2 linked regions of the Canis lupus familiaris genome follow. The protein of the gene in region 1 interacts with the protein of each later gene in a pairwise test. Links are inferred from orthologs where the notes say so. Each region holds a gene or a part of one and is shown on either strand. Other genes may lie near its edges. The genes, in order: USH1C and USH1G.

Region 1 (16,531 bases):
GAGAAAATATTGACTGATGATAGAAGTGCGTCACACTTCCATATTACCGCTCCCCTCGAGACCAGACTTTAACAACAACAGCAACAACAAAATGAAAAAATAACCAAAAACAAATGAAAAAACAAAACACCGATTTAATTTTGTGAACAAGATATACTCCCTGTCCAGGAGGAATGTTAATGCTAATGCTAGAACTGTGGGATTAGGAGCCTTGGGAACCTGTGCAGCATTCTCTTGGCCAATAGTTATTGGAACACCAACCAGATGCAAGTCTTGCAGGTGATGATGATGATGGTGGTAGTGATGATGGCAGGTGGTCCCAGGAGACCCCTAGGCAGGGATATAGACTTGGGATGCATTCATTCATCCATTCATTCATCCACTCAACAAATTTATTGAGCATCTATTTCTTACCACACAGTGTTCTGGGAATATAGTGATAAATAAAGCATACAGCCCCTCACAGAGTATTTGAAGCCATGGGCATAGATGAGAGGAAGGGGAGGGAGCTAAGGATGGAAACGTAACAAGCCCTGGTTAGAGAACAGGTGAGGGCAGAGGAAGCTTGAAAAGGAACATTCATAGGAGAGGAAAGCTCTGACTCAGTCCCCACAACCAAGAGGGGAAGCATTTAAAGAAGGAGAGAGTCTATGAGGGTGGTGGTCATGGAAAACGATTGAAGTGGCCCATGGATTGCATCCCCTTTGAAAGGCCATTTGCCACTCTGCCTGGATTCCAACTATGAAATAACAGCCACACGACTTAGTTAAGAGACGCAGAACATCAACAAAGGAAGTTGGAGGGGAACATATTTGAGTGTCTTTCCTGGACCTTTGAAAATCCCACAAGTCTTCCCCTTTTATCTCTGACTTAACTAGTTAATACTAAGGTGAGGACATGGATAATATTTCAAGGTTTTTCTCCAGGAAGGATTTACATCCTAAACTAGGTGACAATTTAGTCCCAATAAAAATAAGTCTGTTGGCAAAACTTCAGATACTAGAGATAAGATGAAAAACAGGAGGGTTTTAGGTGTCCCTGAAGTTACAGTTGTAAGTGGTTCACTATTTTGGGTTGCTGTCCATCTCCCTGTCCCCTGCCCCCTGACATGGTGCAAACACCCCCCCCCCCCCGGGTTAAATCCAGGCACAAGCCCCCTGATCAAAGATCCCCACTCTCTCCCATACGCCCCTTTCTTGACCCCCTCTTTCCTCTCAGTCTGTCCCCGACTTGGTTCATCACTGTCTTTACACTCCAGCACTAGACCTAGGAGTTGAACAAACTGGATGAATTGACTCAAATGAACCAGATGGGATCTGAGCCCTGGGTAAAGGTCAGCAGTAAATCAAGATGTCACTGCCAGGCCCTTCCATGTCTCAGTGAGTGTGTGTGTGTGTGTGTGTGTGTGTGGAGTGGGGTGGGGCTAGGCAGGTGGGAGGGGAAGTCAGTTCCGGAGGGATACGGCTACCCCACTGATTCAGGCCTCTGTGAGCGCTTTAGACCCGGCCCCAAGGAATTCGCAGATCAAAGATTTCCTCCTCCGGGGAATTAGCCCGTGGAGAAGGCCATTATAGAGGGTAGGTCGGCTGAGAGAGGGATGCCCGGCAGGGGGTGAAAGCCTCAGGGGCCGAGCCAATGGCCCGCTATCTGCGGATCCAGGGATTATCCCTACCCACCCTTGTGAGAGTCTCAGGACCTCCTCCTACAAAAAAGTCCCAAGCCTCCTCCCCACGTTTCCCGAGATCCTGTCCCCCAACTGCTTGTGTTTGGAGACCCGTCCGAGGGGAGCGCCGGGCCTCGAGTCCGGCCACCGCCGCCGCCACCACCACACACACCCACGCACTCCAGACCCTTCGCTCGGGGTGTCGGTGGGAGGCGACAAGCTTCAGGACAGGTGTCCCGGGCGTCCCAGCAGCCCCGCCCAGGCCCCGCCCAGGCCCCGCCCACCGCGCCAGGCCCCGCCCACCGCGCCAGGCCCCGCCCCCCCGCTCCCGGGCCCGCGGATCTCCGCTGCGGCTCCTGCCGGCTTGGGGCCTCCGGGCGCCCGAAGGAGCGAGTTGTGCGGGCGACGCGGCTCCGCCTGGCCCAGCCATGGACCGGAAGGTGGCTCGAGAATTCCGGCACAAGGTCAGAGCTGCGAGGGGCCCCTAAAGCGTTCAGGACCCCGGAGTCCTGGCTGGGCGGTGGGGGGATGGACGTGCCCCGCGCTACCCTCCCTTTTCTAGCCCGGCCTCAGGGCTGTGGATGGACTGGGACCCCTGTGGGTGGTTTGGTTTCCAGCAGGGATCCCCAGTAAAATAAGGGAGGGGGCAGGAGGACTCCAGGTGTAGGAACCCGTGAACCGATCTCCAAAAAGTATTCTTTCTCCTTGCGCTTCCGAGGGCTGGGGCTTCTCTGGTGTTGGAATTCCTTCCAGCTTGGCCTGAGACAGGAAGCTTCTCTGAAATGCCCCGTAGTGGGCAAATCCCAGCTCCTAGTGCCCCAAGCTCAGGGCTGTTGGAGCATATGCAGAGGATATGGGACAGTGTCTGAGAGGTGGGGATTGGTCGGAAGGGAAAGTGGTCCTCTGTCTCTGTCCTTTGACCTCAGAAAACGAGCTAGAAGCACTTTAGGGAGCCCCCTCCCCATTTCAGGGCATTTCTTAGGGCCTGAGAAGCAGGTGAGGAACTGGTGCTGACCAGGGGGCAGTGGGAGGAAAGAAGGAAGTACAGAGAGTCAGCCAGAGTCTTCAGACAGAGAGCTACAGCTCCCCTGGTGTGTCCCAATAGGAGACCTCAGGGATGGTCCAGGATTCTCAGAGGCTCTCACTGAAAGCTACTGGATTTCACCCAGGGCATTTCCAGAACTGTTTCCAGAGCTGTGCAGGAGCTACTGAGGCCCTGAAGTGAGAGAGGACCACTGGCAGTAACCCCAGTGGACCTCCCCACCAGGACTCAGAATGCTTCAGAGCTCAAGGGTGAAGCCAGGGGTGTCTAGAGCTACCCACAGGCCCTACCTGAGACGACTGTGTGCCCTGAGGCCCTCACAGAGCCCAGAGGGGCAGTGTCTTTAGACCAAGCCAAACCTCTTCTGAGGCCTGAGGAAGCCGAGCTCTGGTAGGCAAGGTCCGGGTGCTTAACCCTTCTCTCCCCACAGAGAGAGGCCCAGGGGAGCCAGAGTAGCCAGCCAATGTGTGGGCCACGGGAGCTAAGTGCCAGGGGGCAGTCATTCATCTAGTAAGTGTATTTTGAGTACCCACTCTGTGCCAGACCTCCTCTGTGCCCTGGAATTGCTGGCTGCACAGGTGAGAGAGGGACCCTACGCTATGGCTGGGTGCTGAGTGTGGGGGTCGAGGTTTGGTGGAGTACAAAAGGGGAAGCTCTACTGCCATGAGTCTCCTAAAAAAAGAGGCCTTGGGGATTTCTAAGAGTGAGAGATGGCTGGAAGTTCAGCAGGAGTTTGGGGACTGGCAAGTAGCAACCGGAGCACGAGACAGGGTTCACCTGTGCATCCTGTTGCACAGGGACACGAGAAGAGAAATTTCAGCTGCTGAGGACATTTGGTGAGTGTAGGTTTCAGGCAACCCACTTTGAAGGAACCCAACCTCTGTCCCCTCCCCCAAGACTCAGGCTTGAATTTCAGTTTCCTGCCCCTGGGCAGAAAGAAGGTAACATCAGGTCCTCATTGGTTTTTTCCCTATGGGTACTAGTCTTTGCCCCTTTTTGGAGAATTACCCCTGGGGTCCGTGGTGTCTGACTGCACCCTGAGGTTAGCCTCTGTTTTTCTTCTCCAGGCCCTGCAGCCTCCAGCGGGCCTCAGGCCTCTGTATTTCCACTGCTCTGCTCTTCCTCATCACAGGAGTCATTACCTATTAATGTCCCTGTGTGTGCAGGCGGGGCAGACACCAGGCTGGGCAAGGCCCTGGGCTGGACTTTGTGCCCTGCTGCTTCCGAGACAGCAGCAGCCTTCCCCTCCCAGGTTGGAGATCACCTAGGAACTGGGGAGAGAGGACAAAGCGGCAGAGGCTACAGCTGGGGGCACGTAGCCATGCTGGGCGAAATTTACTGCTCCTGCCCATTGCTCTCTAGCTGTCCCTCCTTTGGTGTTGCAGAGCACATTTACCCCTTGGGAATGGCTTATGACCTAAATCTTTAGTTGTTGGAGGTAGCATGAAAAGTGGCATATTGTCATGGAATGTGCTGTGTGGCCTCGAGCAAGTTATTAACCTCTCTGTGCCTCTTTGATTTGTTAAATGAGGATAATAATAATATTTAGCTCATAAAGCCCTTGTGAGTGTTGGAGGAGATCTACATGCACGTAGGGAGTTTAGTGAGTCCTCAACGAATGTCTGCTGTTGTTATTATCTGATGTTAGGCAGAACGGGGTCCAATCTCAACCCTGCCACTCACTGCCAGTGAGACCTTGGGCAAGTCATTTAATCTGGGCTATCGTTTCCTCAGCTGTGAGATGAGGTTCACAGTGCTTACCTCAGGGGGTGATTAGGACTAAGTAGGAATTCAAGGACCAGCTACTCAGGACCTATAAGTAACCCTTTGGTCCACAGCCACCTGGAGATTCCTGCTGAGCACCCTGGTGGATGTGCCAGCAGGCTCCAGGCTGGGGAGGAGAGTCTGTTCCTCTGGGCTTATGCAGTTTCCCCAGGACATCCGGCAGCACTTTCATGCCCTTCCCAGCAACAGCCTTGGGCCAGGATACCAAGGAGAAGGAAGGGCAGCATCAGAGACTAAGGCTCTTCCCTAAAGAACCAGCTTTTCAAAAGAAGGAGGCTGCCCCTCTGCTCACTGCACCTGCAGGTTTCAGGAATTTGGTTACTCATTTGCCCAAAAGGGCTTTATTGCCTAGTTAGCAATCATGCATTTATGGATATCCGTGGTTTACCCTGCCCGAGGCCAGCCAGGCACCTGGGGGTAGAAAGAGGGGATAAATGAGGAGGTCAGAAAGAGCCTCTGCCTTCCAGTGTTTTGCTAATCATACATGCATGCATGTCATAAACGTTGACTGAGCTCCTAATATTATGCCCAGCAGTACTCTAATCATTGAACAATAAAACAGAGTCCCTGGCTCCTTAGTCAGGAAGACAGACAGTTAACAAGTAACCCAATGCAAGTATCATATAATGCAAAGTAGTGATAAATGCTATGAAAAAAAATAAACTGAGATGAGAGGATAGAGAGCAACCAGATGCGTCAGAAAGGTCTCCTTGAATCTAGAAAGAAGTAAGGAAGGAGCCTTGGGGGTGTATTTGAAAGAACATTCCAAGAAGAGGGAACAATAACCTGAGGCAAGTGTCTGCTTGCTGGCTTTAGGAACAGCAGGTGGGATGGTGTTTCTGAGAGGAATTATGGATTGAATAGAGTGTGGTGGGGGCTCAGTAGGCCACGGTCAGGACTTTGGGTTTTGTTCTCCAGCGATGGGAAGGCAGCCATGAGGGGATGGCTTTCCGTTTAAAAGGGGTTGTTCTGAGTGCTGGTAGAGAGGAGACTGAGGGGGCCGGGAGCAGAAGGGGGATAGGAGACAGGAGGTGAGGGCTTGGACTAGCATGAGGAGTGGTGAGACCCAGAAAATTCAGGAGAAGATAGATCTGACAGGCTCTGACGGTGGGTGGCTCTGGGTGTGGAGAGAGGCATTGAGAGGGAGTCTACATTTTGGGAGGAGCGTGCTGATGGGGACAAGAGGGGAGATAGCAGAAACCAAGAGTTCCATTTTGAATGTTTTGAGATGCCTGGTCAACCATTGAGCCAGTAGCTATGGGAGTCTGAAGATGGCGGGAAGAAGTCTATCCTGGAGCCTCAGTGCATCCTTGAAGGATAAGTGATCGTTCAAACCCTGGAGACCAATGAGGTCACTTAGGGACATGATGCAAATGAAGAGAAGGCCCAGGACAGAGCCAGGGCACTCCAACCTTTCGAGGAGAGGAAATGGGGAAGGAACAGCAAATGAGATAGGAGAAGCAGAGAAGGAGGGCATGGTGAGCCATGCTGAGCACTGAGTCAAGTGCCACCAGCTAGCTAGCAGGACACAAGTGTCTTAAAAAGATGAAGAATAATAAAACAGGAAAAGAGCAAACCCAGTACTACCCAGGATGCATGCTCTGAAGGCCTGAGAGGAAGTGTGGCTGGATCCATTCATCCCATCCCATCAACATTTTTGGAGGGCCCACAGTCTGCCAGCTGCTGAGAACATAGAGTCTGTATTCATTTATTCCCACTTAGTTTTATTTGACAAACACTGAGAACTACTATTTGCCAGGCACTGTGTCAAGCACTTAATGATTATTAATTTAAATAATAATAAAAAAACCCCAGTGATTAATCCCTCACAGAAGGATGAAATCCTATGGAGGAGGTATGTTTATACCCATTTTACAGATGAGGAGAATGGAGCACAGAGAAGTACAGACCCAGGTGAGGAAGGGGCTTGTTGGCCTCACCCTGTGCACTCTTCCCGGGCCTGTGTCTGGGCCACACACAGATTAGCAGGGAGACGAGAGGGTAAAGAGAGGTGGAGAAGGCTGCAGAGTGGGTCTGGGGGCACCGAGGAAGAGATGCAGCGTACATTTCAGAACCCTTGAGATCTGAGAGCCCTGGGCACCGTCTGAAGTCCTTTGTCTATATTCACTTATTTAATCCCCACAACAGCCTGAGGAGGGCAGATGTTCATCGAGTGGAACAACATGCATTATTTAATTTGTTCTTGCTCTCTTTCTCGCTCTTTGGCTGGGTGCACACGTGGAGTTGTATTTGCATGAGCTGAATGTTGTTTGCTCCCCCTGTGCAGCTGTCCTGAAGGGGTCAGTCCATAGGGAGGAATGCCAGGGAATGAGGCTGGAAAGGGCCCAAGGCTCAACCCAGAGTTTTTGCCTCAAGGGCCCCAGACAAGGACCCTGAATCCCAATCCCCCTCATACAGACCGGTAGTAGAGGGCCAGTTGAGCATCAGCCCGAGAATGCTGATGCAGGTTGGAGGGGACCTGACACAAGGTGGGCGGGGAAGGAGGGATTGAGTGGTAAAATCTTTGCAGATCGTGGGCTCCTTTAGAGTTTCTTTGCCCCTACCAAGAGCGATCCAAGAAAAGGAATAGCTTTTCTTTTTAAGATTTTATTTATTTATTTCAGAGAGAGCATGCTTGAGAGAGCACAAGAGACAGAGCACAAACTGGGGCTGGGGTGGGGGGGTGGGTAGATGACTGGGGGCTCAATCTCAGGACCCTGGGATCATGACCTGAGCCAAAGGCAGATGCTTAACTGACTGAGCCACCCAGACACCCTGAAAAGGAAAAGCTTTTTAAATCGAATTACAAAAAGAAGATACAGTGTTTTGCACACAGTAGGTGCTCAGTAAATACGTATTAGACAAGTGCATCCAAAAATTCTATCTGCTAAGTGGATACTATGTGGTGGTTAGGAAAAAGGCAAAGGTTTTGGTGTATTAGACAAATGCATACAAAAATCTCTATCTGGATAGAACCAAGTAGATACTCTGTGTGCCTTAGAAAAAAGGCAAAGGTTTTGGAGGCAGCGGTCTTAAGTTGGAGTCTCAGCTCTGTTGCTTTTTCGACCCTTATTTCCTCATCTATCAGATGGGGATGATAATATCCACACACGTCAGAGGTTTGTTCTAAGGTTAAAGATAATTCACGTAAAGCTCCTCAGACACGGTTGGCAGTCAGCAAGCAATAGGACCTGAACGAGCCGACAAGGAGCAGTGCAAGGACTGGCTTCAGGGAGCCCCTGCTCTAGGGCACTTTGTGCCATTCTCTTGCTACCTGGCGCTCAGGGAGGGCCCCTGGCATGCTGTAGTCTGCGGCAGCAGCAGCCCGCAGAGGCGCACAGTGCCCAGTGGTGCCTGCTGAGTGATGAACGCACTCCAGTTGCTCTAGTCTAGAGCCTTCCTTTTATCCTCTTAGCTCAGCCCTGGGTCACCACCTTCCCATCACTCCTCAGCACACATCTGCCACAGCCCTTCTGGATCTGTCCCTCTTAGCTCACTTCCATCTTGTCACAAAAGAGTGGGTCATAGACTCATGCGAGACTGCCCTGCCTCCTCGCACCTGAAGGCTGCCTTCATTTAAGGGGAGTCCAAGCCCACTCTTATAGAGTATTTCCTGACCATGCATAGCTCAGAGCCTCCTCACCCGCCTCCCAGCCTGAGGCCCTTCTTGCCCTCTTACTCAGTCTTAGGCTAAAGAGAGAGAGCCAAGGATATGATGTATAGAGATTCACGCTGCACTGTCCCAGGGAGTGGAATTTGGGGCTCCTCTACCCACCAGGTCCCTTGGGATTGAAGTGCTAATGAAACAGCTCCTGACCTTGACCTTGGAGTCCCAGCCATTGACGTCAGCAAACCTGAAATGATGTAACTTGACTCTCCCCTTGGGGGGGAAGCGGGGGACAGAAGGGACCTGGAGAGGTGAAGGAGTGGTCAGGAGGCTGACTAGTGGACAGAAGTCGGGGCCAACCCAGCTTAGGCCAGGACAGGATGGGGTGGAGTTGCCCCTGGCATTGGTGATACAGGAGGACAGTAGGGTGCTTCCAGAGGGTGGGATGTGCTATCTGAGCGAGTGGCCCAAATCCTTTCTGAAAGCGGTTATCCGGCACTATAGCCACCATCAGGTAAGACGATGGGCTCCTTCCAGACCGGGTTGCTGACACTGGCATTGCCACTCGGGACTGTGCTGTCAAGTGGAGGGTCATGCGTGTGCATCTGACTATGCATCCACCCGGGGGAGAGGTTCAGCCTGGCCACATCTGGATGTGCACAAGTACTCTGGTGGCATCAGGGTGATCTGCATGTGGCTGATGTGTTACTGTCAGAGGACCCTGACTGCCCTCCTCTCGCAGCCCCAGCCCTGTGGACATGCTGAGGAATGGCAGTGGCCTACCCCTCCCCTGGCATCTGCTATGGACGTGCTGGGCCTGGGGTTAGAATTCTCCCCTTGGGTTTTCCAGGTGGATTTTCTGATTGAAAATGATGCAGAGAAGGACTATCTGTATGACGTGCTGCGGATGTATCACCAGTAAGTGTGCGGGGTCCAGCTCCTGTGGACCAGCCGGGTACCTCTGCCTCCGGGAAACTCTGGGCTGGATGTTCTGAGATGGAAGGACCTCTCCCTCCCATCCTGGGGGCTCTGGGAGAGGGGCAGACGCTCAATGCTCCTGGGAATCACATGGACATGCCACGCACTTGCCTTAGCAAATACGTACACAAATACTCAGTGCGGAGCCATTGAAGGGTTTAGAGGAGGGGAGTGACATACATTTAGAAAATATCAGACAGGCATGAGCAGGCCGGCTGACAGCTGGAGAAGTGCAGGCCGAATATGCTGAGGGTCTGAGAGGTGTGAGGAGGAGTCATGGGAGGGATACTGTGAGGGCAGCTTACCTGTAGCGCAGAAGTGGGGACCAGGGTTCGAGAGGGGTCACCAGCATCTCACACGAGTTTTCCCGGCTGGAAAGATCCTGTGCTTTAGAATTAGGCAGAGCTGAGTTTGAATCCTGACTTGAGTTCATCTGTAGACTGGGTTAACAATCCCCACCTGGCCTGTTTCCTTGTGACATTAAATGTGGAATAGTGAAGCTCTCATGAGGCCCCTAGCCCAGAATTAGGGGCTCTGGGCTTTACAGGAGCGTTCTCTCCACTTCCAAGGCCTGGACTCAATGGGTGAGGACCCAGCTGGGGACCAGTTCCTCTGGGGATCCTTGGGTGTCAGAGGCCGTGGCCATGGATGAGGCTCCCTGTGTTCCCCGTGTCTCTGCAGAACCATGGACGTGGCCGTGTTCGTGGGAGACCTGAAGCTGGTCATCAATGAGCCTAGCCGCCTGCCACTATTTGACGCCATCAGACCCCTGATCCCGCTGAAGCACCAGGTGGAGTACGACCAACTGACCCCCCGGCGCTCCAGGTACAGATGGTGCCACCAGGATAGAGGCAGGGGTGGGAGAGGTCACCGGGGAGGGACATCACTGGCTCCTCCCATGGCAGGAAGCTGAAGGAGGTGCGTCTGGACCGTCTGCACCCCGAAGGCCTGGGCCTCAGTGTTCGTGGGGGCCTCGAGTTTGGCTGCGGGCTCTTCATCTCCCACCTCATCAAAGGCGGTCAGGCTGACAGCGTTGGGCTCCAGGTGAGTGAGCAGAGTCCCGCGGAACAAGGGGTCAGGGCCTCGGCCTTGCTGCCTCCCCTCACAATGGGATCGCCTCGCCTTTCTGAGGCATTGGGGGAGGAAGAGGCCCACACATCCTGACAGATTTTCCTCAGGCCCATAGAAATCAGGCTGCGGGCAGCCGCCTGTTTTCTTCAGTCAAGCTGGGAACCTGGCTGCTGCAATCCCCCCCCCCCCTACTTCCCAAAGGAGGAGCGTAGTTACCTCCTGGCACCTGAAGCTCTGGCCGTGTAGCCTTTCACCGGAAGGGAGAAGGAAATCCCACTGTAGTGTGGTGTTTGAGAGCATAGACCCCAGAGCCAGACTGTCCTGGCTTTGCAACTCATGAGCTATGGGACTATGAAGAAATTACTTAACCCCATGCCTCAGTTTTCTCATCTATAAAATGGGGATAACAATAGCATTCCCTACCTCATCGGGTTGTCATGAGGAGACAGTGGATTCATATCCTAAAGTACTAACAAAAGTGCCCAGCACATAGTGTTCGTTAGGTAAGCAGGGAGGGAGATTTAATGAACACCTGTTTTGTGCCAGGTGACGTGCTCACAACTGGTCCTCATGATATCATCCCCATTTTCCAGAGTTAACAGACTTGAGTAAAGTCACAGCCAGGATGTGGCCGAGTCAGGACCTGAACCCAGGTCTCCAGACTGCCAGGCCCAGGGATCTGTCTTCAGCACCCCAGGGTGCCTCTCCCTCGGGGTCCCACACCTCTGTGCATGAGCAGAGATGGGCTGACCTCCAGATCTCGCTCCTGCTGGAGGAGCCCAGAGCTGGGTTTTCGTGCGTCCAGATAGAAGAGACCCTTCCAGCCCCCCCACCTCAAAGCTGCCAGCATGTTTGTTATCAGGCTGCCAAGACAGGGGCTTTGGGGGGCTCAAAGACTTACGGTACAGAAGTGGGAGCGGACAGACATTGCTTTGTTCTAAATCCCTGTCTCACGGCTCGCCAGTGGCGGCTGAAATTTCAGCCACTTCATTACTCTTCTCCTGTGGGGCACATTTTCCAGCCCAGAAACACAGCCAGAGGAAAAAAAAAAAAAAACCATAATGAGCTCCTCTCTCAGCATCGACAGAGGCCCTCTTTTTTTCCAGGGCGAGCTCTCCTACTAGGACAGGCATTTCTCAACGATGCCTATTGGGGCCATCGGGGCATTTTAATGCAACTCAGAAGTCTACCCTCCCACCTGTTTCTCAGGCTTATAAATTATCTTCTCTTTCTTGGGCTGCCGGGCTCATCTGTCCTTTGTGCCCCCGTCCCTCAGATCGTCATTTCATTGTGGCCTTTGCACAAAGGGCCTTTTGCACGGTTCTACGCTGGAGCGAGAGAGAGGAAAGCTGATACAGGTAGCCTGAGCCCCAGGGGCTGTATGGGAATCATTCTGACTGGGGTCCCAAACAGGTTCCTTTTAGGAACAACACAGGGAACCTCACTCATAGGAGCTTGGGGACAACATCCGCATCCATTCACCTGTCTGAGGTTCATGTTTCTGGGAAGATCTCATGCCTGAGATCTGCAGACAGGAGAAGATTCTGGAAGGCAGGGGAGGGACATGTTCAGACACAACCTGGCTAGACTGAAGGACCTGCTGATTTGATCTGTTTTGTCCACCTACTGGATATAGTTTAGATTTTTTTTCAAGTGTGTCTTGTCTGAAGCTTTGCCCTCTGCTCTGCACAGGGCCGCCTACACTGTACCACATGCTCTGCAGTCCCGGGCTAGAGAATGATGCTGTGTGCCTTGGTTGTCCTAGCCGTAAAATGGACAGAGTAATCTCTGCCTTTCCTGAGGGACTTGAGGTCACTTGTGACAGGTGGCAGGAATCCAGAGAGGACAGGATGTAGGGAACTGCAGCCAGGCTTGGCCAGGTGCCCTCCCTCTCTGCTTCTAGATGCCCAAGAGACAAAACTTGTTGTCTGTAGGGGAGACCTGACTTCAAATCCCGGCAACACTGTTTACCAACCGGGTGACCTCAAGCAAATGACTTTTGTTTTTGTTTTTTTTGTTTTTTTTTTTAAGATTTTATTTAGGGGCACCTGGGTGGCTCAGTGGTTGAGCGTCTGCCTGCCTTCGGCTTAGGCTGTGATCCCGGGGTCCTGGGATCGAGTCCCGCATTAGGCTCCCTGCATGGAGCCTGCTTCTCCCTCTGCCTGTGTCTCTGCCTTTTTTTTTATTCATGAAAGAGAGAGAGAGAGAGAGGCAGAGACACAGGCAGAGGGAGAAGCAGGCTCCATGCAGGGAGCCTAATGCGGGACTCGATCCCAGGACCCCGGGATCACAGCCTAAGCCGAAGGCAGGCAGACGCTCAACCACTGAGCCACCCAGGTGCCCTGAGCAAATCATTCTGTTCTCTGATTCTCAGTTTCCTCATTTGATTAACAGAAATAGAGTTGCTGTAAAATGTGGGTACAAGGAGCTAGCCTGGCCGCTCTCCTGACACGAGATGTCCCTAGAAACCTAGAGAGGTCTTTAGCAAGCCCGTCTCTCTGGTGTCTTTTTGAGTCCCTTGCCACTCTCATCAGGCCCCTAAGAGGACTGGGGTGTGTGGAGGTGTGTAAGGGAAACATTGAGGTGATAACATCGAAAAGGTGACTCTGTTGGGATGTTGAGAGGGTGGGAGTTGGCCTAGATGAACCCCTCACAGGCTGCGTGCCTGCCCAGCTCCCAGACCCCACAGAGTCAAGTTGTGTCCCCTACATGTACCAACAGGTCCCCAAAGGGACAGTACATGGGGTGTGAGTTAAGCTGCCGGTTGACTTGGCCTGGCCTCAAGCTGGAGAGGGGCACCCAGGATCCAGTCCCTGTTTTGCAGCTCAGGCTGCGTGACCTTAGATAACATCTTCTCCCTGGGCCACAGTTTCATCTGATAACTGAGGGTCCCTCTAGCCCTGCAGTTATTAAGTGAAGAGCTTCGGGACTGATCCCCAGAGCTAAGGCACCTGGAGGGACCTGCAGCAGCATCCAGCAGGGGATGAGCTCACCACAGCTCTGTATCCAGGGCTGGCCCTGCAGGCCCGTGAGCCCCTGTCTCTCCTGATCCAATGAGGCTTGATGTCCTGCAGAGAGAGCAGGAGTCTTTAGGGCTTGGACCCAACTAATGATAACAATAATGACCATTTATTGATTACTGATGGTATACCAGGTGCTGGCTGGCCTACATGTACAGGTAGGCCAGCACTTCTCGAAGCAACCAGAACATTTCCCCATTTTACAGATGAGAGGAACTGAGGTTCAGAAGGTTCAAGAGACTTGCACAAGGTCCTTTTTCCTCTTCTGGGGACAGCATCCATAGACATTCAGAATGATCCAGCATTTGACACACAGTTGTAGGCCATCCTATAGCACAGCCTTGAACAAAACTAGGCTGCTCTGAACCCCTGCTAATAGAATCATTTACCTTTAGACCAAGAAGAGTAGGAAAGCACCAAACTCTGCATGTGGCATGTGCTCAGGCCAGCTTTGAGGAGTTTGTGCTGTGACACCTACAGTTCTTTTTTTTTAAGATTATTTATTTATTTATTCAAGAGAGCAAGAGAGCATGGGGAAGGAACAGAGGGGGAGGGACAGAGTCCTCACTAGGTGCAGAGCCCGATGTGGGGCTCGATCTCATGACCCTGAGATCATGACCTGAGCTGAAACCAAGAGTCAGACACTTAACCAAGTGCACCATCAGGGTGCCCAGGTACCTAGAGTTCTTAAAAGGTCTAAAATGAAGAAACACAGCAGCAGGGGTTATGGTGGTTCCATGTGTGCTGTGTGTTTGTTGACAGGATCAAGCATGCTTTCCCTATTGAAGAGCAGGAAATCATTGTGAAAGTCTTGAAGGCACAAGCACAGAATCAGAAACCTAAATAAATAATGAAGTTTTTTTTGAGTAATAAAAAAAATAAAAAATAAATAAAAAAAGAATTGCCCAAGACCATTCAGCTAATGAGAATAGAAGCAGGGTTTTGAAGCCAGGACATCTGACACCAAAGCCTTGTGTTTATTCACTGTTCTTTGCTCGCCCAGCATGGGGGTCAGAGGCCAGGGCTGTGGCTGAGTTAAAATGTCCACTGAGCTTCCACAGGGTGGGAAGAAAGAAACTGCATGTGTGTCAGTGATGCGAACTTGAATCAGGAATCATAGAAGTTCCCCGCCCTGACTCACTTACGGCGTTACAGTGATTAACAAAGACTGGGGAGCTTGCTCCTTGGGGCGGGGTGGGGCAAAGGCCAAGGAAGAGCTGCTTGAATCTAGGTGAAGGGGTGTCCTTTGCATGGGTTCCAGATCCTGATGGTGACCCAGTGGGGCAAAAGGGGCCCTGAAGGGGCACCCGGGTGGCTCAGTGGTTGAATGTCTGCCTTTGGCTCAGGTCATGATCCCAGAGTCCTGGGATTGAGTCCCACATCGGGCTCCCCACAGGGAGCCTGCTTCTCCCTCTGCCTGTCTCTCTCTCTCTCTCTCTCTCTCTGTCTCTCATGAATAAATAAATAAAATCTTTAAAAAGGGGGGCACTGAAATGAGGGCACAGAGTCCCGAGTTCTAGTTCCATTCTGCTGCCCACTCTCTGTGCCTTTCACCTCCCGTGTTGGTGCTCCCATCTGCAAAATGGGTCAGAAAGACTGCTTGGAAGTGTCACTACCATGGGATCCTTTAGACTAATGGAGAGTGCGTTGGTTATAACAAAGTACTAGGGTCCATGCCAAGGTTTCTTCTGAGGGAAGGTGTGGTCAGCGTCCCTCTTCCCGGAGAGCAGGCCCAGAGCATCTGGGGCAAGCCTGCCCAGCTGCCTGAGGCCCCCTCAACCTGGTGCCCATTCCCTCCGTCTGTGGCCAAGGTAGGGGATGAGATCGTGCGCATCAACGGATATTCCATCTCCTCCTGCACCCACGAGGAGGTCATCAACCTTATCAGGACCAAGAAGACTGTGTCCATCAAAGTGAGACGTGAGTGAGGCCAGAGGGCAGGGGGCACTCGAGGGGGGCATGGCTAGGGTGGGGTAGGCAGCGGGGTCCCTGGCTCCTGGGGGAGGAAGGGAGGGCATAGGAGCCGTGCTAACTGCCTTGCCTTTCTCCCACAGACATTGGCCTGATTCCTGTGAAGAGGTGAGCAGGACCCTCCTCTGCGATTCTTCCCTGTGGGCGCAGGGTCCTGGGATTGGCTGTGGGGTCCGGCGTCAGCCCGGCCAGCACTGCTTCTGGGCCAGAGGTGGCTGGAGGCTCCAGACGGGCAGATCTGGATTTGGAGCCTGGCTCCTCACACATCTCTCTCTAATGACTGCTCTTCTATTTCCCCTTCCCACCAGCTCTCCTGACGAACCCCTCAAATGGCAGTACGTGGATCAGTTTGTGTCAGAATCCGAGGTAAGGGTCAGGGCCACCTGTGCTGGGGTTTGGATGGGGTTGTCTTCAGGGAAGGGCAGCTAGTCCCAAAGGGAGGGTTGCCCCAGAGATGTGCATTCAGGAGCTTCAGACAGGCTCCGAGGGCATCCAGAAGGTCCCTGAGGGTGCTGGGCCCTCAGCCAGGTCCAGCTGGTGCAGACATACCCCCCAGGGATATATCAGTGAGCAGTCTCATGTGGGGATAGCGGTGCTTGCTCTAAAGGGCTTTGTGAAATCAAGAGCCTCTTGGACACCCAGTGACCCTTATCTCATACTTCCTCCAGGGTGGGCGGAGTACCCTGAGCTTCCCCGGCAGTCGGGAAAACAAGGAGAAGAAGGTCTTCATCAGCCTTGTGGGATCCCGGGGCCTTGGCTGCAGGTAGGTGGCAGGCCTTCCCTGAGGGTCACTCATGACTGAGAGACCCCAGTACACCCCTAAGCCCCTCCCCCTCTCTCACTGCTGCTTCTGAAGAGATGACACTTCTCGGCGCCTGATTTCTGAGCCTCACAACAGCCTTCCAAGGCCAGAGGGACAGTTTTAACAGGCCCATTTTACAGATGACGAAGCTGAAGCCCAAAAGCAGACCCACATTCCTTTGGTGGGCTTCAGTCACTGCAAAAGGAGCCTGTCCGAGTGATGATCTCTGTTACGGTTCCCTGGTCATTTATTACCTTGTGGGCTTCCTTCAGTAGCAGCCAGGGAATTGCAAACAGGCATCAGGCCACGTGGGGTGGCCTTATTAAGCACACAGGTGCCACAGTTATAGATGCAGTTTCCAGCCCCTGCTCTGGCACCTATGAGCTCTAGAACCTTGGACTAGTCGCTTAGCCACTCTGAGCCTAGGATCCCCACAAAACTAGTTGTTGTGAGGACGGAGGAGATCACAGAAGTACCAGCTTCGTGCCTAGTAGGTAGTGAGCAGCTGTTAAACGTCAGCTGTTATTAAGTTTTTCAAATTATTCCCATCCACTCACATTTATTTAACACTTTTCTGCCAAGCATAAGTGGT
Region 2 (15,478 bases), on another chromosome or scaffold:
TTACTGGGGTGTGTGTCTTCAGGGAGTGTTTCTGCCCTGGGGTGAAGGCGTTAGTGCTGGGGTTTCTCTTAGTAAGCGGTTCTGCCGAATTAGCAGGGAGGGGGCGCTGTTGTGAATGCCCCCCTTCCAGGCCAGCCCTCCACCGCACTCTGCTGAGAGTGCTCACACTTATGTTGGTCTCTGCTACTTCCTGATGCTGCTCCAATTATTCTGAGAAGCAAGCTGGTCACAAGTTCCCAGGAGCAGTCACACCTTCCATGGAGGGGTGAGGGCACCCACCCTCCACATCACTTCACAGCTCCCTGCCACCTCCGCCCAGCCCCCAGGTCAGCATTCCCCAGGAGCCCTCCAGTTCCATCTGCAGCCTAGATGCCAGAAGGCTGGGATTTCATTCTCTCTCTGTGCCCTGAGATGCTGTTTGCCCAGGGGCTACATCTGACTCTTTCTGAACCTGCTTCTCTCCTAGAGAGCTGTAGGATTCTCAAGTGGGCTGGGGACAAGACAGAGAAGGCCAAGAACATCCTTCTTTGGCCTTATCTTCCCCCTCAGCCTCTCCCCATCTCTCCTCTTCCACCCCCCAGTTACTCACGATGACATTGCAGAGCAGAAGAAACAGAGACATGTCCTTCAGGCACCGGCGTCTCCAGTGGCTCCTGGGGGCCAAGATGATGGCCACTGCTTCCTGAGGTCCCCCTGGGTTGGTGCCAACCAGTCTGGGCGTGGGTGGGCAGGCAGGCAAGGTGTGGAGGGCATCAATGTTGGCAAAGGTAAGGCCATGGCTGGTGCCAACCAGCCTGGGAGTGGGTGGGCAGGCCGGCAAGGTGTGGAGGGCATCCGCGTTGGCAAAGGTAAGGCCATGGCAGGACTCCTTGGGGGTGGTATCATGAGATTCAGCCCCGGGTGGTCCCCGATGGAGGCTCTCGATGATGAACACATTCTGGAAGGTGTGCTGGGCAATCATGAGCAGAGCATGGGCTAGGTTGAGCCCCCCCAGTAGGTCCCTGGGTGTGCCCACAACCACAGCCACAATAGAGTAGTAGGAGATAGCGTACTGGCCCAGGGCGGCACCCATCAGCAGCGCCACATCCAGGGTTCGAGTGGGGTTCTTATGGTGATCCATGGCCCGGCGATCAAAACGGTAGATGACTGAGCCACTCAGGCTGACCAAGGTCATGAGCCCCAGACAGATGATGTTGAAGCTGTAGTAGATGACCAGGGCCTGCTCGGGGCGGCTCCCCTCCCCACTCACTTGGACCTCGTAGATGATGAAGACAGCCAGCCCCACCACGAAGAGCATCAGGCCCAGGATCGGGCCAGCAAAAAAGGTCTCCCGGAAGAGGCTGATCTGGGATGGGGTGTGGCCGTGGCCGTGGGTGGAGGAGGCCAGCAGTCTGCCCACATTCTTCCACATGACATAGAGCATGGTGGAGGCAAAAAGGCTGTACTCGATGTTGAAGGGATACAGGTAGAAGTAGCCCTGCTGGAAAATCTGGCAGATGGCCGTGTTGCAGGAACAGTCTCCTCCAACCGAGCTGCCCGCTCGCTCCGCTGTGGAGAGAGGGGCACAGAGTGGGACTGCCCTCCACCTTCCTGGAGGCACCCCATCTGAAGGACCTCACCTCTCAACTGTGACTTTTGTTAGGGTGGAATCACTGTCTGCTATGCTCACCACCGTATCCCGCAGTGCTCGCACAGGGCCCGGCTGGCTCACTCAATCCCCAGGGATTTACTGAGCACCCACTGTGCGCCAGAGACCGGGGCACATCAGTAAACAGTAGTCAGTGCTCAATAAACAAAAGCCTGAACCGCACATTCTGGCCGCTTCATCCCATTCCGTTCCTTCAGGCAGACATTTCCAATCCTTCCCAACCAGTAACCATCCCTGGATCCCCAAAATAGGTGAGGTTCTGGTCTCGATAGATGGTGGTCCTCCTGGGAACCCTGGAAATTCCAGCTTCCTCGCAGCTCTCCCCAGCATCTGACTCAGCCCAGAAGGTGAGCTGCTTGGCCCACGTGTGACCTCCCGTCATTTTGGTTTGTGGCACACCTGTAGCAATCTTGTCCTGTGACCCGAGTGCACTTTATAGAATGTCTTGGATCTTGGCAAACATCTCTTTTGATCCCCAGAACTATTCCCACTGGTTTTGCAGATGTGGAAACTGAGGCTCACTGACGTAAAGTGGCTTGTAATGGCAGAGCTATTGACCTGGCTCCCAACCCCAGGGCAAGTACCTTCCCAGTATCCCATATTAAATTGGCCACCACTCTGGGTTGTTTTTTTGGTTTTGTTTTGTTTGAGAGAGAGAGAGAGCGAGAGCAGAGACAGCATATGTATATGCAGAGGGAGCAGCAGAGGGAGAGAGAGAGAGAGAGAGAATCTCAAGCAGGCTCCATGCCCAGCCAGCACAGAGCCCAACTTGGGGCTTGATCTCATGACCCTGAAATCATGACCTGAGCCAAAATTAAGAGTTGGGGGCAGCCTGGGTGGCGCAGCAGTTTAGCACCACCTTCAGCCCAGGGTGTGATCCTGGAGACCCAGGATCGAGTCCCACGTCTGGCTCCTTGCATGGAGCCTGCTTCTCCCTCTGCCTGTGTCTGTGCCTCTCTCTCTCTCTGTCTCTCATGAATAAATAAATAAAATCTTAAAAAAACAAAAACAAAATTAAGAGTTGGATGTTTAACTGACTGAGCCACCCAGGTGCCCCCTCCAGGTTGGTTTTTAACCATCATCAGGAGCCCTCTGTATGTGCAAGGTGACCCTTTATCAGTCCTGCTAGACTGATCCATTCTTGCCATTCCTGGACACTTCCACACTGAGTATGTGTGTGTCTTTGGACAAAATCCATATGTACATAATCATCTAGTCTGGACCTGGTTAGTGGGGTGGGGCGGGGGAGCTACCAAAGTCCAGAGAACTGGCCCAGGGAGCCTGTGGACTCTATTCTTCAGTGTAGCTCTGTGAATATTGCAAATTATTTCACCTTTTAGGCCTCAGTTTCTGTATCTGTAAAATGGAGATATTAATAGTACTCATTTTGGGACTCAGTTGGTTAAGCCTCAGACTCTTGATTTCGGCTCAGGTCATGATCTCAGGGTCATGAGATTGAGTCTTGTGCCAGGCTCTATGCTCAGTGCCGAGTCTGCTTAAGATTCTCTCTCTCCCTCTTCCTCTGCCCCTCCCCTGTCCCCACTCTTACACACACATTCTCTCTCTCTCTCTCTCTCTCTCTCTCTCACTGAAAAAGAAAAAAAAGTATCCATCTCATTGGGAAGTTGTGAGGGTTAAGTAAGTAGAGTGTTTAGGACACTCAGCACAGCACCTGACATACAGAGCTCAGAAAAGTGTCACTATTATCATTGTGATTATTATTTCTACCTTCTCCTTCCCAGACTCTGTCCCATGCTTCCACCATTGAGCCACTCTACCTGCTTCCCTTTCCTTCCCTCCACTTTGATCACCCTCGCCCTTTCATCCTGGAGCTCAAATCCCTTCTTTGGTGGGATGGAGTCCTGAACAGTGGGGCCAAGGCTACATCCTCTGGAAAGAGGATATGCCCCCTGGCACCCTCCTTCTGGTGTGACCTACTCTGTCTTCAGAGACAGAGTCTGGAGCAGGAGGCTCTCCTTTCTTGTGAGGGCAAGGGAGACAAGCACCCCGCCTAAGGCCTGGAAGTCCTGGGACCAGGTTTAATCTGAACTGGACACTCACGGTCAGGAGCGAGGCGAAGGTGGCTGGTGTTGCTGTGGGAACTATCATAGGAGTGGGTCTGGTGCACGGACTCGTCCACCACGGCTGCCATCCAGATGGCCAGGTTGGTGGTGAGGGTGAACATGAGACCACACCTGTTTGGGGAGAGGAAGCAAAGAGGCCAGTGAGTGTCTGGCCTATTGTGGGTCCCTGGGGAGATGGATAGCTGGGGAGCTATACTGGGAGATGATGTGGAGAGGCAAGAAAGCAGTCAGGCCCCCTGTGTAAGCAGAGAGGCTGAGTTTGGAAGGAACACTTAGTCTGGCCAGAATGCCACCCAAGAGAGGGCCAGGGGGGTGTCCAGGGGCTCAGGCCACTACTGCTCCCTCTCCTACAGGAAAGCACATATAGGGCAGCCTGGGTGGCTCAGTGGTTTAGTGCCTGCCTTCAGCCCAGGGTGTGATCCTGGAGACCCGGGATTGAGTCCCACGTTGGGCTCCCTGCATGGAGCCTGCTTCTCTCTCTGTGTCTCTGCCTCTCTCTCTCTCTGTGTCTCTCATGAATAAATAAATAAATAAATCTTAAAAAAAAAAAAGAAAGAAAGCACGTACAGTGCACTATATAACCCATCCCACCAAAACACATAGGTATGAGTGTGTCGGCACACACGTACACACAACACAGCATAGAGTGGTGGAATCAGGCTGACAGAGCCAAGGGGCCTTGGCTGAAACCCCACCCAGGGTACAGAAAGAAGCCCCAGGCTAGGTTGGAAAGCCCTCATTGCTCATGCTCCGTGGGCATGGATGTTGAGCACTCACCGGGTCAGATCCAGATGGACGTGAATACAGTCTTTAGCGGAGACCCAGAGAAAGTAAGTCTGTGTTGAGAGAGAGTGGGGGAGGTCATTCACTCTGCAGATGGGCCAGACTCTGGAGTGCCCATGTCCAAACCCCACAGTACATTCCTTCTACCTCAAGAGCCTTACCAACCTACCACATTTCTCTTAGCTTTACAAAATGAGTCAGGAGCTTTCTCTCTCCATGAAACAATTTGTATAAAATAGTTCTCTTCTTTCAGAGTTTGCAAAATGTTACGTGTAAACTCTTGATGCTTTTCTGTTGTGGTTGCTGTTCTTTTTTTTTCCCCCAGGTAGAAATTTGACTGTCTAGTTACTTATTCCTAGGAGTGAGGCCAGCCTGAGTCTTGTCCAAGGAAGAGAGAATCTCTGGTGGCTTCTCACCTCCCTTTGGCAATATCCCCTGCCCCATCCCCATCCTTTGTTGCCTTGCAACCTTCACCTGGTTGCCAACAAATCCTTGTCATGGTATTTGGTGATGTAAAGGGGTCTGTATTTTCATTTCACCTGAGTATTCTTCAAACCCGTAAAATGTAAAAAAAGTAAAGCTCTCATAAGTACCAAAGTCACGAATGTGTTGAATTATGGAAATCCACACATTGGGGGTGATGTTTCAGGAGAGGGAACCCTATGTGTGGTCATTCTGGTCATGGTGGAGGGCTGAGATCTGTTCTGGTTCCATGTAAGACCAGTCCTGCCTCAGCTCAATCAGAAGATCTTTCAGAGTGTTATGTTTGCAACAAATAAAAATAAATATACTTGAACTTGTTTGAAAAAAATCCCAGGTACAGGACACCCTATTTCCTGAACAAATATAGAACATATGGATAATAGCTGAAGCCTAACCAGCCATGCTCACAGCAGGACCCTGGGCTGAAAGTGATGCCTTCTACAGGCACTCAGGGAGGGCAAGCCAGGTTCTAGGAGGCATGGCAGCTGCCACAACTCAGACATCCTAGATGTTGATACTGGCACTGCTTTGGTCGAAATGAAATCACGGGACCCCTAAGTAGGAGCTCACATTTGGATATTAATTCATTACCAAGGGACAGCCCTGGTGGCGTAGCAGTTTAGCGCCGCCTGCAGCCTGGGTTTGTGATCCGGAGACCCAGGATCGAGTCCCACATTGGGCTTCCTGCATGGAGCCTGCTTCTCCCTCTGCCTGTGTCTCTGCCTCTCTCTTCGCTCTCTCTGAATGAATAAATAAATAAATCTTAAAAAAAAAATTCATTACCAAGTGCTTTCCGATTTATGGATTCAGGTGATCCATGCTACTGTCTTATCCCCATGTTACTTGATTGCTCAAGGTAGAAGAGTGGAGATCTCCTGACCTCATGTCAGGTGTTGGCTCCTTTCCACCACACTCAAGAACGCTCCTTCCACCCACCTGGACGATGACAAACACAGCTTGGGTGAGAGGATGCAGAATCTTGATGGCCGATTGGCACTCAAAGAAACTGGAGTAGTAGCCAGTCTTGAAGACATCCATGACAAGAGTGCAGATCCCAAACAGCACCAGCCCACCTGGGAACAAGGGGTGGAGGATGGGTCAGAGAGGATGGTTTATAGATCTGAGAATGGATGGCTAGATGGGTGGTTGGTTGGATGGTTGGTTGGATGGAGAGATGAATAAGATTGATGGGAGGATCAATGGATAGACGAATGGGGTGGTTGAGAGGATGGATAAATGGCTGGCTGGCTGGCTGGCTATATGAATGGATTGATGGATGGATGGACAGATGGGTGTATAGTTGGATGATGGATGGATGGATAGTGGATGGGTGAATGGATGGATTGAAAGATGAATGGGTGGGTGGAGAATGAGTATAGGACTGAGAGGGTGGATGGATGGACGGACATCCTATTGAGCCCCTATGTCTTTGGGGCGGCATAGATTGGCAGGAGAAGGGCCCTAGGTGGGTTCTTTCAGCTGCAGCGGTCATCTGTTCTGCTCTCCATCAAAGGCTCTCCCGTGACCATCCCTTTTCAATCTTTAGGAAAGGCAAAGAAGTCCTCCATCCCTCACTTCATTCTTCTCCCAAGACTGTTTCTCTTCCTCTTCTCTTTCAACTGCAGCCGGTCTCATCTTCAGCCACATCTGCCTCCCCCCACCCCCACCCCCACCCCCACCCCCAATTTCTCAGCTCCCTACCGTGAGGCGCACTCCACAGTTCCTCTGAGGGTCGCAGCCTCTGGCTCCTCGCCTGCCCCCCACTCCCCCCCACCACCTCCCCGGGCACCTCGGAGCCAGATGGGGCCGGCGTGCGCGTCCCGGTAGGGGACGGCGTCGGGGCAGCGCACGGTCCGGAAGAGGTAGAAGAGGATCCAGAGGGAGGCGAGCAGCATCATGGTGGTGAGCAGCGCGAACACGTCGGTGTCATACACCGCTACCTTGTTGAAGGCGCCGCCACTGACGAGCGTGCAGGCGAGCAGCAGCACGTTCACGGCCAGCAGCACGGACAGCAGGCGGCCGCCCTTCTTCCACACCTCGCGGGAGCCTGCCCGCGGCGCTGGCGGGCTCTCCTCGGGGCCCGGGGCCGAGTCCTCCGACATGGGGGCGACCGGGGGAGGTGGGAGGGTCACTGCGGGGAGGAGCGGACAGCACCAGGTCAACCCGAGCGCTCTCCTTCGGCCGTCTTGTCTTATCCATCCCTAGGTTTAGGGACGGAGAAGCTCCTCACCCCGAGGGTGGGGGCTGCGGTGGTGGAGGATGCGCTGGGGAGACGCAAGGGAGAAGCGGACCCTTGGGGCCTCTCCCTCGACGACGGAGCGCAGGAGAGGCGGCGGCAGCCCCGTCGGGCCCCGTCCCACGTCCCCGCTCCCCAGGCCGTGGGCCGTGTGGCCCGGGCACCCACCTGGCTGGTCCGGGAGCCCGCGCTGAGCCGGGGGTCAGGGGGCGGCGAGCGTCTCCTCTGCCCCACACCGGGCTGTACGGGCGCTTTATACTGGGGAGGGCAGGGTGATTTACAGCCGCGGGAGCTCAGCTCCATAAATCTCTCAGTCCCACTCACATGATCCATCTTTTCTCCGAGCTGAATTTAGGGAAGAGAGCGCGGGAGCCAGATAAGGTAAGATTTATATTTACCCGTGAAGAGGCGCCCCCTCCCCCGCCGTCCCGTCACCTCGGGCGCGGCCCCGCACTGCGGCACCCAGAGGGCACCCCGCCCCTGGCGCCCACCGCGCCCTCGCGCCCCGCGGTGCCCGCGGTCCCCGCCGTCCAGAGCCGCGAGCGCTGATGCTCAGCAGACCCCCAAGGGCCCGCAGGGACTCCGACGCCCTCCAGGCCCAGCGCACCCTCCACCTTTGTGCTCCTCTGGGACCCCAGTGCCCCTTTCCCCGACACCCTCCCAGGGGTCGAAGTTCCTCGTTCCCGATCCCTCCCCGCAGGGGGCTCCGCGGCGAAGGCGGGCTCCGGGAGCAAGCGCAGTCCTCCAGCGCCCCCTGCTGGAGCGCGGCCCCCCGACCCCGCGCGGCCGAGGCTCCTGGAGCCAGGCCTTCGGGTGCTGGTCGCTGTCTGGGCGCAGTCCTCCTCCCCGTCCCGGGCCCGCTGTCCTAGGATCCAGACTGCCCGCAGACACCGCTGCCCAGTCCTTGGCCCCTTCCTTCGACGGGTGGAGACATCGGGAGCCGGAGAGCCGGGGCTCCAGTGAGGACAGACCTCAGCCCGTCCCCAGGCTGGACCTCATGGGACGGGGCGCTGGGGTGACCGCTTTTGGGGCGAGGGCAGGGTGTCGCGTAGGTCGCCCCGGGGCGCTCGGGAGCAGGGTGTTTAGGACCCAGGGGCAGCCCGGGGGCGGCTCCCTTGGCGGCGGGAGATCCTACCCCCCCCTCCCTCCCGGGGTGCGCGGCTCAGATGTCCGCGGAGGCTCTGGCGCTCCGCAACCTCCGTGTGCGGCAGCGGGGGCTGGCGGCCTCGGGCCCTGCTCGGCCCCCTCCTCCAGCCCCATGCCTCAGCCCTAACCCCGCCGCCCTCCCCCGCGGGGGGCCTTTCCCCGTGCCCCCTGCCCACCCCGTCCGAGTCAGGCGCCATGAACGACCAGTACCACCGGGCGGCCCGGGACGGCTACCTGGAGCTCCTCAAAGAGGCCACCAGGAAGGAGCTGAACGCCCCCGACGAGGACGGCATGACTCCCACCCTCTGGGCTGCCTACCACGGCAACCTGGAGTCGCTGCGGCTCATCGTGAGCCGGGGGTGAGTACCCGCCCTGTCCCTGCCCGAGCCCCCCAGTCGAAGGGGAAGAGAGTCTTCAGGCCCCTCCAGTCCCCTGAGACACACTCCCCAAGACTCCAAGTTATCTTCCGCCTCCCTCCTCTGAGCGCCTGTCTTCTCTACCCCAACTAAGGTGGGACCCCGGAGCCTGGCAGCTGTGGGAGGGCCGCACAACCCGAGGCTTGTGACACTTGTGACCTGGATGAGGGGCTAGGAGGGGAGGGACTGGGATTTGGGGTCCATGATTGTGGGAGGGGCTGCAGAGTGAGGGGGAGGTGGGATCGGTCTCCTGGGTGGGTGTCACCAGGAAGCAATAGTGGGGATGGAAGAGAAGGGGGAGAAGTGGTGCAAAGTGAAGCTCCTTAGGGCCCTCTCCCAGCCCGGGGCCAGAGGGCTCTCCCAGCCAGTGCTGCACCTCCCTGTTCAGCTCTCTCCTGGCTCATTCTTGGGATTTATGGGCACCGGCTCCAGCACCAAATGTCAGTGGGTGCAGCCACCTCATTAACTCCCTCTCTGCCCCTCCCCCATAATGGGCTCCCTCTCCTGCCCTTAGGAGTTGTCTGGGAGGAGGAGTGGGCATAGAGTCCATGCGTCAGGGCCAGGGAAGGGGTGTGAAGGTAGCAATGGAGGAATTCAGGATCCAGGCCCACTGATGTAGGTTCTTGGGGCTGAATGACACTGTGGACAGCTTCCCCAGCCTCCACAGTTTCCTACAGAGAGGTCACCTGGTTGAACTGGACACCTGGGCAGCCTGGACAGGGAAAAGGAGTGGAAAGCATGCCCCCAGGAGGACATGCCCCAGGAGGGTTCATATGAACGTCTTAGGCCCTGGGAAATCACAGTGGACGGCAAGGGGCCCAGCTGGCCCTGGTGCCAAATGCTGGCTTAAGCCCTGAACATGTGGTGGTGGGGAACCCCCTTGTCCTCCCTCTGAGGCTCTCCTCAGGCCTGCGGCAGGTGGGAGCAGGCCCTAAGACCAGGGTGCTGAGCCATGTTCCAAGAAGCCAAGACTGGCCCTTCCCGCACCAAGAGATCACACAGCGGTCCTGCCATCCTGCCTCCCATCAGAGAGGTCCACGGAAAAGGGTGGCTTCCCAGTGCACCAAACCCCCCAACTCCTACAGAGAGCAAGGCTTGATGTTGAAAGGGGGGTGGGCCAGATGCCAAGCAGCTCCTCTCCACATTGTCCTGCAGGACTTGGCGACCAGTAGGGGAAATGAGGAGGGGGTTGTGGGGAAAGCTGTTGAGACAAGGGAATGATTCTTCCTCCAGCCCTGCGGGGTGGCCTCAGGGCCTCATTAGTGTGAGGCAGAGGTGCTGAGCCAGGCCCCTGTGGGAGGGGAGAGCTTGGAGGAGCTGCCGGGCTCCCAAGGGGCACAATCGGGTGTGGAGGATGTGGGAAGATGCTGGGTGGGTCCCCTCGGCAGGCACAAGCCAGCCTGCCTGTAAGGCTCCCAATGACAGGGCAGCCCCAGGAAGGGAGGGCTCTTGGGCCCAGGTTGCACACTTGCCTCCTCCTCCGCTTTGGTGCTGGCTGCCCCCACACTCCCCTCCCAGCCCAGGCCAAGACCCGACACCTGCTCTCACACGCAGCCTTGCCAGGCCTGGCCCCGCTCCCTGCAGACATGGCCGTGCCCGCTGACACACTGGCACGCACCCTCACACACCTTCCCCCCCGGGGCTCAGGCTCAGCACCCACCAGTCTCCTGTGTCCTTTTTTAAGGTCACCCCTGCACCCTCAGCCACACTCACCACCGCGCCTGCCTAGAGACCCAGACACAGCCCTGGCCCACCACCTCTCTGGGCCAGCTCCCCGCTGGGCTCCATGAATAATTCACTCCTTTCTCTCTGGGCATCAAATATTTATCCCCTGAGATTCCCAGCCATCAGTTCTCTTGGGGAAGGCCCCGCCCCGGCCCCGCCTTTCCTGCTGCCCCACCCCCTGCGGGCCTGGGGCCATTTCTGCTCCACCCCCACCCCACCCCCACCCCCATCTCCACCTCCACCCCCACCTCCACCTCCACCTCCACCCCCACCTCCATTTCCACCTCCACCTCCACCCCCACCTCCACCTCCACCTCCACCTCCACCCCCACCTCCATTTCCACCTCCACCTCCACCCCCACCTCCACCTCCACCCCCACCCCCACCTCCACCTCCACCCCCACCCCCACCTCCACCTCCACCCCCACCCCCACCCCCACCTCCACCCTCACCCCCACCTCCACCCTCACCCCCACCTCCACCTCCACCTCCACCCCTTCTCCCCCGGCTCTCCCTAGGTAGGTCTGGCATCTCCAGGAGTCAGAGGAGACATCTCGGGGCCTTCGGGTCCTGCCGGTGCGCCCCCGGGGGTCGCCCAACCGGGCCTGGAGCTCCCCGCGTCTGCAGCCAGGGCCGACGGCCGTGGGTTCATCACCCCTCCTTGCGTGTCCTCCCTGCAGGGGTGACCCAGACAAGTGTGACATCTGGGGCAACACGCCCCTGCACCTGGCAGCTTCCAACGGCCACCTGCACTGCCTGTCCTTCCTGGTGTCCTTCGGGGCCAACATCTGGTGCCTGGACAACGACTACCACACGCCGCTGGACATGGCCGCGATGAAGGGCCACATGGAGTGCGTGCGCTACCTGGACTCCATCGCCGCCAAGCAGAGCAGCTTCAACCCCAAGCTGGTGGGCAAGCTGAAGGACAAGGCCTTCCGCGAGGCCGAGCGGCGCATCCGCGAGTGCGCCAAGATGCAGCGCAAGCACCACGAGCGCATGGAGCGGCGCTACCGCCGCGAGCGGGCCGAGCGCTCCGACGCGCTCAGCTTCTCCAGCCTCACGTCCAGCACCCTGAGCCGCCGGCTGCAGCACCTGGCGCTGGGCAGCCAGCTGCCCTACTCGCAGGCCACGCTGCACGGCACGGCCAGGGGCAAGGGCAAGATCCAGCGGAAGCTGGAGCGGCGCAAGCAGGGCGGCGAGGGCACCTTCAAGATCTCCGAGGACGGCCGCAAGAGCGTGCGCTCGCTCTCGGGCCTGCAGCTGGGCAGCGACGTGATGTTCGTGCGCCAGGGCACCTACGCCAACCCCAAGGAGTGGGGCCGCTCCCCGCTCCGGGACATGTTCCTCTCGGATGAGGACAGCGTCTCCCGTGCCACGCTGGCGGCCGAGCCTGCCCACTCGGAGGTCAGCACCGACTCAGGCCACGACTCCCTGTTTACCCGCCCGGGCCTGGGCACCATGGTGTTCCGCAGGAACTACCTGAGCAGCGGGCTGCACGGGCTGGGCCGCGAGGACGCCGAGGGCGCCCCGCGAGGCCGGCTGCAGAGCTCCCCCAGCCTGGACGACGACAGCCTGGGCAGTGCCAACAGCCTGCAGGACCGCAGCTGCGGGGAGGAGCTGCCCTGGGACGAGCTGGACTTGGGCCTGGATGAGGACCTGGAGCCCGAGACCAGCCCCCTGGAGACCTTCCTGGCCTCCCTGCACATGGAGGACTTCACCTCCCTCTTACGGCAGGAGAAGATCGACCTGGAGGCCCTGATGCTGTGCTCCGACCTTGACCTCCGCAGCATCAGCGTCCCCCTGGGGCCCCGCAAGAAGATTCTGGGGGCCGTGAGGAGGAGGAGGCAGGCGCTGGAGCGCCCACCAGCCCTGGAGGACACGGAGTTGTGAGTGCCCTGAGCCTTGGGTGGATGGGAAGATGGGGGCCTTAGGGCCTTAGGGGGCCCCAGGGGAAGATCTGCCTTTTCAGGAGTGTGTGTGTGTGTGTGTGTGTGGGGTGTAATATCGTATTTAGTAAAACTTAGTCCCCACCAATTACAAGAGGCCTCACTTAATTTGTTCATCCCCAACTCTGAAAAAGAGGCTGCCAATTTAAGGAGGACAAGAGGCCTTCTTATCACAGCAAATGTAAAATGTAAAATGTAAAACACCTCCGTTTAGATCTCAAAATGCCCCCAAATGAGTGTGAATGCGATACAGTAGTCAGAGTAATCACAGCCAGGACGTTTTGGGCCCTCCCACCTACTGGGTGCCAGAGATGCCCCTGCACATGTCCTCTTACTGAGTCCCTCCCAGCTCCCATGTGCAGGGACTGTATCATCCCCATTTTCCAGGAGAACAATTGGAGCCTCAGAAGTTTGCAGTAGCTCATCCTAAGGTCCTGCTGCTGCTTGGTGCAGAGCTTGGGCTTGATCCCCGGTCTGTGTGGCTCTAGAGCCTGGTGACTCCCATGGGAGGAGAGTTGTCAGGTTCAAAAGCTGTCAGGGGAGCTCAAGTCTGCTAACACTGGTGGCCTGGCCCTGGGCGGACCCCTTTCTCATGGCATCCCACAAGCCCAGCACATGACGTTGCCTCCTTTTGGTGTCAGTGGCTTTTACCCTGCATGGCTGGGCAGGAGTGGGTGTGAGGAAGCAGTCTGGTTTACAGTTCATTGGATGGGGATGGCCAGTGTCCCCATCCCTGACCATTAGCCTGTCAGGAGAGGGTTAGTTGTCCAAATGGTTCATCTTGTCTTAAAATGATGTCTTGAAGGCCCTTACCTGAAGTCCGTTTCTGTGTCTTTCTCTACAGATAACAGAGGGCTCCTCTCTCCAAACCAAAATGAATTGCATGTTGCCACAACCCACCGTGGGACCATGAGGTCCTCACAGTTGCCAGCCCTGAAGCCCCCCGGCCCCTCCCCAGGAGCAAAGACCATGTGGATCATCTTTGAAAGCCTGTCCACACTCCACATGCAGGTGTAGCCTGGAGGTACCAGCAAGGGGTCCTGAAGCCCTTGAGCCACACCCATCCGAATGCCCCTAAAGGACATGTGGATTCTTGGGACACCAGCCCCAGAGGAAGGGCAGGGAACCCCTGGGGCCCCAGGGAATAGATGACATGCCCATTAGAGCTGAATGGGAGTGTGGGGGGTGGGCATGGCCTGTTCCAAGGGCCATTGTCTCTCCCCACACTCTCCTCCAAGCATCCTGTTGTTGTGCTCAGGCTGGAGACTTGCTCATATCCTACATATTTGTGAAGGGAAGAGTTTGGGCTGCCTCCCCTCCCCCCATACACCTTAGAGAGGAGGTTCCTAGCTAGACTCTTCAGCCAAATGCTCTGACTGTAGGTAGTCCCCACCCCCATCCCAAGCACAGCCAGCCCCCATCCCCGTGTCCTTCCCCTACTGGACATGCTGGGGAGTTGGGGTGCCAGGCCGGGGTGAGGGGGCGGTGAATGGCCCCCTTACCAGTTCACCTTGTGGCAGGGCCCAGCCTGACTCTGCTCTCCTCACTCTGCCCTCGTCCACCCTGCCTCCACCCTGGTCCCTCCATGGACCCCAGAGGGTCAGGGCAATAGATGTAAGGTGCTAGAGCAATGAGCTGCAGTATTAGGGCCCTTGGCCTGGTGGGCGTGCTCTGGGGTAGAGAAAAGGCAGCTGCCAACTGCCTCAGTGGCTGCCAGCCCAGAGACAGGCGGAGACTGGGCATGGCTGGGTGTCTAGCCTCTTCTGGGCCAGTCCTGTGATATGGACAGTGGAAGAGCCTGAGGATGTCGATTATCTAAGCTCCCCGGGTCTCTGTGCATGTTTGTGTGTTGAGGGCTGCTGGATGGATTTGCCTCCGGGTCTGGAGGCAGAGGGGCAGCTGCATGGTTCTGCGTGGGTAGTTGGTCATTGAGAGCTCAGCATGTGTCCCTGCTCTGTGATGACACCAGTGAGACCAGGAGAAAGGCCAGCCCCAGGTGGTCCTCAGACATGTGTCCTCAGTTTTCCAGTTGGACTGAGGTCACAGATGTGGGGGAGAGACTCAGGGGCCCCCTTACATGTGTGGGCACACACACCCTCCTCCTCTGTCAGCAATGAGCCTCCATCCCTGACCCTCAGCTTGGGAAGCAGCTCCCATGGGAGCACTGCCACAGCCCCCACCTCTTTCCTGGACCCCCTTGGCCGGGTCAGGAGACAAGAAAACCCCCAGAGAATGCCACAGGCCTCCATCTGGCGTGTCTGTGTGTGCGTCCAGAGCGGGGGCCACAGTGGAGGTGGTTTCTGTTTCCACACTGCAGGCTTGGCTGCCTGCCACTGCCACCCTGAGCCCACCCCAGTCCTTTTCCCTGTTCTCTGGGCCTGGGCCTGGGGCCACCCCCAAGTGCCGACTCGACTCTCTCAGAGCCCAGGTGCTGCCCTTTCTCTTCTGTTCTCTGTCTGTGTCCTGCCTCAGCCTCCTCCCCATTCTCCCAGTGCCGGAGTGGGGCAGGCTCTGGGATTCCCACTGCTGTACGAAGTACACCTCCCACAGGCTCATTATAACTTTTGTAGAAAATGTTCTGTATCACAGTCGCGCCTGCGTCTCATCCTTTAATCACTTGAGGGTGGAAGAGGGAGAAGGTCTTTCTGTACCTAAAAGGACTTGGTCCTCGTGGCCCCCCTGGAGGGGGTCACGGGACGGATGGGTGAGCATTCCGTCCTTGTGTATCCCTGCATAGCCTTCCCTCATCCCTGGGCCTTCATCCTGCTCTCTCTGGGCCCAGAATTTGGAGCTGATGGAGAGAGAATGTCCAAAAGAACCGGGGAAGGAGAGCCAGAAGCTGAGTGAGGAGGATGGTCCAGGCCCCAGCCCTGTCCCCAGATCCTGCAGCTGCTGAGGGCACGAGGACACTTTCTCCCTTCCCAGCAGGGCCCGCCTGGCCTTCTCCAGATGGGCAGACGCTGTACCTAAGGAGGCTGCCACCCACCTCCCAGGCCCCATAAGCCCTCATC

Evidence for each region.
Region 2: the proteins of USH1C (region 1) and USH1G interact in binary tests that used the Homo sapiens proteins (3 or more experiments, as listed by UniProt). The link is inferred for Canis lupus familiaris from reciprocal best matches to the Homo sapiens genes USH1C and USH1G.

The regions. Positions count from the first base shown.
Region 1 is NC_049242.1:40,750,078-40,766,608, reverse strand, and holds the start of USH1C (harmonin), read left to right. Parts: upstream 1-1,974; 5' UTR 1,975-2,091; coding exon 2,092-2,127; intron 2,128-8,947; coding exon 8,948-9,015; intron 9,016-9,756; coding exon 9,757-9,900; intron 9,901-9,980; coding exon 9,981-10,119; intron 10,120-14,977; coding exon 14,978-15,086; intron 15,087-15,220; coding exon 15,221-15,245; intron 15,246-15,445; coding exon 15,446-15,503; intron 15,504-15,805; coding exon 15,806-15,900; intron 15,901-16,531. UniProt on the Homo sapiens protein: Anchoring/scaffolding protein that is a part of the functional network formed by USH1C, USH1G, CDH23 and MYO7A that mediates mechanotransduction in cochlear hair cells. Required for normal development and maintenance of cochlear hair cell bundles.
Region 2 is NC_049230.1:6,400,433-6,415,910, forward strand, and holds the start of USH1G (Usher syndrome type-1G protein), read left to right. Parts: upstream 1-8,414; 5' UTR 8,415-8,575; coding exon 8,576-8,739; intron 8,740-11,201; coding exon 11,202-12,407; coding exon of another isoform or gene 12,408-12,411; intron 12,412-13,311; coding exon 13,312-13,315; 3' UTR 13,316-15,478. Other genes in the region: proton channel OTOP2, read right to left, coding at 590-1,548, 3,710-3,843, 4,510-4,568, 5,935-6,071, 6,788-7,100. UniProt on the Homo sapiens protein: Plays a role in pre-mRNA splicing by regulating the release and transfer of U4/U6.U5 tri-small nuclear ribonucleoprotein (tri-snRNP) complexes from their assembly site in Cajal bodies to nuclear speckles, thereby contributing to the assembly of the pre-catalytic spliceosome on target pre-mRNAs.